Linked DNA regions of Cricetulus griseus. The protein of the gene in region 2 purifies or fractionates together with the protein of the main gene of each other region. This does not show direct contact. Links are inferred from orthologs where the notes say so. Each region holds a gene or a part of one and is shown on either strand. Other genes may lie near its edges.

Region 1 (3,749 bases), on a different chromosome or scaffold from region 2:
ATAGTGGCAACTGTAACCCAGCACTTGAAAGAAGAGAATCAGGAACCCAAGGTCAGCCATGGCTACATAGCAAGTTAAGGCTGGCCTGAACCAAGAGACCCTTTAAGGAAAAAAAATAAAAAAATAAGGAGGCTAGAGAGATGGCTCAGCAGTTAAGAGCACTGGCTACTCTTCCAGAGAACCCAGGTACAATTCCCAGCACTCACATGATAGCTTATAACTGCTTGTAACTACAACTTCAGGGGATTCAACACCTTCACACAGTCATACATTTGGACAAAACATGAATGCACACAAAACAAAAATGAATATAAAAGAATAAAATTTAGCTGGGCAGTGGTGGCACACACCTTTACTTCCAGCACTCAAAAGGCAGAAGCAAGTGGATCTCTGAGTTTGAGGACACCCTGGTCTACAGATCCAGCCAGCTCCAGGACTGTCAGAGCTACACAGAGAAACCATCTTGAAAAACCAAAAACCAAACAAAAGAATAAAATTTATACTATGCCGACTTCATTTCATACCCCCTCTCTCTCATACTTTTTAAATTCCTTACAAAAACTATCTCTACTGTAAAGAACCTGGATATTGCCAGATGGCAGTAGCAGCATCGTACACCTTTAGTCAAAGCCCTTGGGAGACAGAGGCAGGCAGATCTCTGAGTTCAAGGCCAGGCTGGTCTACAGAGCAAGTTCTAGGACAGGCTCCAAAGCTACAGAGAAACCCTGTCTCAAAAACAAACAAGCCTGGTGGTGGTGGCATACGCCTTTAATCCCAGCACTCAGGAGGCAGAGGCAGGTGGATCTCTGTGAGTTCGAGACCAGCTAGGTCTACAAGAGCTAGGGTCTACCTTATTTCACTCACGTTTGGTAGAACAGTATTTTGCTTTAGATTTGTTTTGGTTTTTTCAAGAAAGGGCTTCTCTGTGTAGCCCTGGCTGTCCTGGAACTATGTAGACCAGGCCAGCCTTGAACTCAGAAATCCACCTGTCTCTGCCTCCTGCATACTGGGAGTATGCAAGATTTATTTTTACTTATCTATTTGCCTGTGTGTTATGAGCAACATGCATGTATAGGTGTCCAAAGAAGCAAAAGGATGATGCATCATCAGAAACTAAGAGTTACAAGCAGGTTTGAGTGGTGGGAACAGAACCCAGGTCCTTTTCAAGCACAGTAAATCTCACCCATTGAACACCAATTTTGTTGTTTGAAATAGGGTCTTATATAGGTCAAGTTGGCCTCCAACTCCTTATCCTCCTGCCTTTCCTCCCCAAGTGATAGCATTACATGTACTTTGAAAGCTCTTCCTTTATCCCTAATTTCTTTCACATTTTAACCATGACCTCTCATCAGGAAAATCTATCTCAAATCAGGAGTGATGAAACAGTCTGTAATCCCAACACACAGAAAGTAGAGACAAGAGGAAATGAGTTCAAGGCCATCCTCAGTTACACGACTTCAAGGCCAGCCTGAGACTCTTAGAGAAAGAGACCGTTCAAATGTCCCTAAATTGAATAACCCTGTGTGTGTGAGCAAGTGGAAGCCTTAAGGGCAACTTTCCAGAAATTCTCTTTTCACCATCTTGGAATCAAATTCAAGTAAGATTTGTACTGCAAGCACTTTTACCTGATAAGCCTCCTCGATGGCCCAGAATCCTCTTATAAGAATTAACATCACCATGCATAAGCTTTATAGGAATCATCGTTTCTCTATTAAGTTTTATTTATTTAATGTTACTCTCCTACAATTGAATGTAGCCCCTTAGAACAAAAATCAGACAGGTCTTTTTGTGTTCCACCACTATGTCCTAAATTCAGTACACAACAGATACTCAATATTTATTTACTGAAAAAAGGAATTAAAAAAGAATTCCAAACCAGTAACAGTGATATGCACTGTAATACCAACATTTAGGAGTCTAAAGTAGGAACCCAGGAAGCCGGTATGGACAACAGTCCTTGTCTGTACACATGCACAACACAGAATGCAGATGTAACCTAGTTGGTAGAGGGCTTGGCTGGCATTCACAAAGCCCTGGGTTCAATTCCCAGTACCCCATAAACTAGGTGTATGTATAGGGGTGCATGGGCTTGGTAATGCCAGTCCTCAGACAGATCAAGAGGCTCTGAAATTCAAGGTTATCTTTAGCAACATCAAGTGCAGACATATAGATAGATAGTTTGGGTTTTTATGTTTTGTTTTTCGAGACAGGGTTTCTCTGTGGCTTTGGAGGCTATCCTGGAACTAGCTCTTGTAGACCAGGCTGGTCTCGAACTCATAGAGATCCGCCTGCCTCTGCCTTACGAGTGCTGGGATCAAAGGTGTGCACCACCAATGCCCGGCTATGTAGTTCCACTCTAATGGAAGTTCTGAAAACAGGACTTGCAACTACAATTACTAGCAAGTAATCAGTAAAGCACGCGGTAGGGCTTTTATCAATAAACTGGTTTCTCTTAGTATATGTAAAGAATTAGTTGTTGACGAAGCTTCTTTCTCCCCCTGACAACCGTCACACATCTTTTTAGACATTGATGTCTATTTCCCCTCCTGGTCCTCAAACTCCCAGAGAAGTATGGGTAACAAATCCAACATCCTTCCCACACTCGTAAGAAACGTACAACTTTCCCAGCGGTCGTGGAGAGGCGCCTCACCTTTAAGGAGCCCAGCGCCCTGACTCGGCCTGGGTGCCTCCCTAAAAGTATCACATCTCCCTTCCGTCTTCTCCAGCCTCCTCATCCTCCCTCCCATCCAGTCAACTTCATTCACCCCACATTCTCTGTCCCGGCGCTTGGTCCCAGGGTCTGAGCGCGCCGAGAAGACGCCGCCTCAGGGGCAGGCCCGCCATCCTCCCGCCCCGGACGCCTCCCGCCCGCTCCGTCTGCTCCTCCTCAGCCGCCCTGCGGCCTAGCTGTGGCGACCCCAGTTCTCGCAGCCCAGCAGCGAACTTCGAGTGCCGCTTCTCGTTCCAGAGACTCCCTCACAGAACCGAGTCTCACCTCACAAGAACCGCAGCCACAGCCGAGCGCGCGAACGGCGCCTCTCGCGAGAGTCAGGAACTCCCTCTGCGAGAAGAGATGGGAAGTTTGGCGCCAACCGTACGCGAAGCGGCCTGGGCGGGGCCTAAGGGCTAGAGTAGCCGGGACCCGCCCACCCCCGCCCGAAAGCCTGCTTCCCCATCCCGAGCATCTTACTAGCGTGAAGCTCAGAGTTCCTTATTTTCTAGGCGCTTCATTAGCTTTTGAAATAGGACTCCGGTCTTAGAAACCGAGTGGTGGAAGCCGGGCCTGAGAGCGTACGCCTGGAACCCCAGCACTTGGGAGGCAGAGGCCGGCGGATCTCTGTGAGTTCGAGGCCAGCCTGGTCTACAGAGCGAGTTCCAGGACAACCTCCAAAGCCACAGAGAAACCCTGTCTCGAAAAATAAATAAATAAATAATAAACAAATAAATAAGTAAATGTGCTAGAGAGATGGCTTAACCATTAAAAGCACTTGTTGCTCGTGCAGAAGACTCAAATTTGGTTTCCAGCACCGACTTAGTGGTTCACAACCTTGTGTGGTACCAGGGCATCTGAGGCCCTCTCCTGGCCTCCAGAGCACCAAGCAAATTACATACAAAAAGCCATGCAAATAAAAGATGTCTTTGAAAAAATGAGACGGTGAGAAAAACAATGCTAACCTCATGACTGTGTAACCCCACATCCACGTACAAAATAATAGTAGAGCTGGATGGAGTTAGAGAGATTCCTTAAC
Region 2 (3,649 bases):
TACCCTGAATTCAGAGCTAGGCTATCAAAACCATTGGGCCTTTTTAATTAGCCCTGGCTATGCAGAAACTCTCTATACAGACTAGGCTGGCCTCAAACTCACAGAGACCCACTTGCCTCTGCTGCCCAAGTGTTGGGATTAAGGGCATTTGCCATCATGCCTGGCTCACACTGGGTCTACTTGATGTCTCAGACCAGAGGTGCAAAACAATGTGGTCATTTAAAAAGACTATGCTAGTACCCAGTTTAGACAGCTTTAGGGCTGGGTGTGTAGCTCAGTGGAAGAGCTTGACTGGCATGCACGAGGAGCTGGGTTTAACCCTCAGCTCCACAGAACTGAGTACATAAGAAGGCTTGGGGTGGCTGGGTGGGGAGATGGATCCACTGTTAAGAACACTGGTTGCTTTTGCAGAGGAACCAAATTCAGCTCCCCAGCACCCACATGGTGGCTGTTCCAGGGGATCTGATGCCTTCTTCTGACCTCCTCAGACACCAGTCACTCATTTGGTTTGTGTCATATGTTACTTGACCACTGAACATAAACTGAAAACACAGAGTCCTGAAAACTTGTGTGTTGGGTCCAGCTGGGTCCAGGGAGAACATTAATACACATAAAATAAAAACATTAAAAAGAAAGCAAGCTGGGGCCAATATGCCAGCTCATGGGGGAAAGCGCTTGCTGTCAGGCCGGATGACCTGAGCCTGGTCCCTGGGACTCACAGGGAGAGCTCAGTTTGAATTCCATACACTGCAGTGGAAAATGCAAATGAAAAATGACTTTAAAAATTGTGAGGAAAAAGCTGTAGAGAGCTAAACCTTAGAATGCCTAAAGAGTTTCTCTCTATTTCCAGGTAAGATGCAGACTTGAAGCCTGATTTAACAGTGTATGCTCAGTTCTGACTGCATACTGTCTATCTTTAGTTTAAGAGAGCAACTGGCTGACAAAAGAAACAGAATCCAACCAATGTTTAATTCTCAAGATGTTCTATAATAGTATTATAAGTTGCTGTGGATGACAATGATGGATCGAGTGCACAGTGAAATGAGACAGTAAGGAAGAAAACCTATATTGTATATGATGACAATAAAGGAGCCGCAGCAAGTGATGCTTAGGGAGCACAATAGAAATAAATGATTCAAATATCCAGCAGAACACAGGTTAGGCCAAGGGAGGAACACTGAAACAGAAAGCTGTAACTAAAGTCAAATACCAGTCCTTGGCAGGATAGCAGCTGCTCTCCATCTACAACTCAGGCTCAAACCCACAGGAGCTGCCTGATGCTTGACAGCCTGACACTGATGCTCTGCTCAGACACTAACATGAACCCGAGGCCAGTTCACACTACACTGCAGAGCCTGGTCACCACCATTTCCGCAGTATCCAGAAACTTGTCACACTTTTCTACTTCACACGAGAGGCCACAACACACCCTTCAACACACACAGCCTCTATACTGGCAGTGACAGAGACACCAACAACAAGAAGCAGTAACTGGCGCTCTGGCACAGGGCTCTGGGATCCCAGATGAGAACACAGCCCTGAACTAGCACCTGAAAGCAGATTTAAACACTCAACCATCTAGCGCTTTCTAGGCTTCTGTGAAGTAAGACGTGAGGTACCTTGTCACCCTGGCCCAAGTTCTCCGATTTAGCCTCATACAAAGTTTTCCAGTTGGTGTTGTTCCCTCCAGCGCCTCCACTCCTGAGGTCAGAGATGGAAACACCATCTAAGGCTTGTCCTTCTGAGTCGAACCTAAAAAACAAAACAAAAGCAATGGTGACAGGAACTTTGCATCCTTCTCAAATGTGCTGTTTGGATATACCAGCCACGAGCTCTGTCACTACCGGGTCCCATCTGGGTCCCAGCACACCTGAAGAATTACAATGGCCTTTCTTTTGACCTCATTTGTTTTGACCTCCACTCCCACATGACCCCATGGTCAAGACAAACAATGCCCAAATACCACAGACCCCCTGCCCCAAACTGGGCTGCATATTAAAAAAAAAAAAGCAGTGAACAGAGTCAGCAACAGAAGGCCACCCTGGCGCAGTCCCCCAGGCTTCGAGCCTTTACCTCAATCACTGAAATGAATCAGATGAAAAGGGACATTTTTGTTTCATGAGTCAGCCAAAAATGTTTTCATGGTAGAAAATCTTTTAAGCCTAATCAGTTGTAGAATTCAACATACTTCATCAGAAGGCATTATCTGCTGTGTTAGATATTTGCTTTCTCAGTGGGAATTTATTTATGCAAACATCAAGGTTAAGTCATTTATATGAAATTATTATTAAAACTGATTACACCTCTTGACCAGCTATTGGCTAATCCAAAGGAAAAGAGGCCAGGGAGAAGGTAGCAAGAACATGCAGTGGCGGAGAGTGGTGGGCTTGAGATTAAAAACATGAGCTGGCTGTAGTGAGTGGTGAACGTCTTTAGTCCCAGCCTTTGGGAGGCAGAGGTGGGTGCACCTCTGAGTTCGAGGCCAGCCTGGTCTACAGAGTGAGTTCCAGGCCAGCCAGGGATACACAGAAAAGCCCTTTCTCAAATAAATGAACAAACAAACACAAACATATCAAACACCCAAGTGGTAGGTAATTAAATGTTAACCACATACAGGACTGACTCCCTAAAAAGAGAGCACTCAACAGAGTGGCTGCTGCCCTAGGCCACATTGTGTCAGGTGAACAGCTACATCCGTCATAGAGGATAGAGTTCATAATTGGTTTTACCACTAAAAACTGTGAAGTTTATGGCTTCAAAAACTTCATGCAGACATTTGCCACAAAGATAGCTCATCAAGAATCAACAGAGCAAGGAGACAGGAGCCCTTCTTATAATAAAAATTCCACCCTGTTAGTGGCAAGATCTAAACTTCCGATAATCCTTGCCTGGGTGGGGTGTGTGCACTGAACCTGTCCTAGATCAATGACAGGACCTTTTGTTCAGGGGACATACATGCCTCTTTGTGTTTTCTGCGATCAGTTACTGACAGTGAAATATGAACACCTTACTGTGGGCATGCAATTAACCTGGAGTTGTGCTCAGAGCCTGGAAGAAAATCAACCAACAAAAACAAACCAAAGACACGATTGTTTCTAGTTAAACTACTATGGGATTCTGTCATATGATGCAATACTAGCTATCAGCACCGTTAAATAGATGGATGCAGGCTACTCGAGAGGGTGGCTTAAGCAATACAGACATTCTAGGAGATATTCTATCAAATTATTAAAATATCACTGTTACTGGAGTATATCAGATTCAAAACAAAAATGAGGAGTATAAAATGAGCTATTTCTTGAATCCCCTAAACTCTAAGCCATAGCTGGAAACCACACATGCCCCCTGTGACTACAGCTACACAAATGACTTAAGCTTGAGCTGGGTAAAGTCTTTTCTTTGCCCACATCAATTCTTCCACACTACATTCTCAGGATGAAGTGCTCTTCTAAGGCAGAGTTTTAATGCCTTAAAAAAAAAAAAAAAGCTAGATACGGTGTGGGGATCTTAACAAGCTCTCCTGTCTCTTGAGTGCTTCGAGAATAACGATGTAATGCCAACAAAAAGCCCATTGTTCCCACCATGCTTTGACAGAGGTGAGTGAATACACACCAGAAGAGGTGACCAGCTCCCGAGACTCCAGAGTGAG

The links.
Region 1: the proteins of Rpa1 (region 2) and Tipin purify together in Homo sapiens (affinity purification with western blotting; 4 studies listed by BioGRID and IntAct, with this or other methods). This does not show direct contact. The link is inferred for Cricetulus griseus from reciprocal best matches to the Homo sapiens genes RPA1 and TIPIN.

What each region holds. Positions count from the first base shown.
Region 1 is NC_048597.1:175,901,617-175,905,365, reverse strand, and holds the start of Tipin (TIMELESS-interacting protein), read right to left. Parts: upstream 2,751-3,749; 5' UTR 2,748-2,750; coding exon 2,651-2,747; intron 1-2,650.
Region 2 is NC_048600.1:88,760,450-88,764,098, forward strand, and holds part of Rpa1 (replication protein A 70 kDa DNA-binding subunit), read right to left. Parts: intron 1,753-3,649; coding exon 1,620-1,752; intron 1-1,619. UniProt on the Homo sapiens protein: As part of the heterotrimeric replication protein A complex (RPA/RP-A), binds and stabilizes single-stranded DNA intermediates that form during DNA replication or upon DNA stress.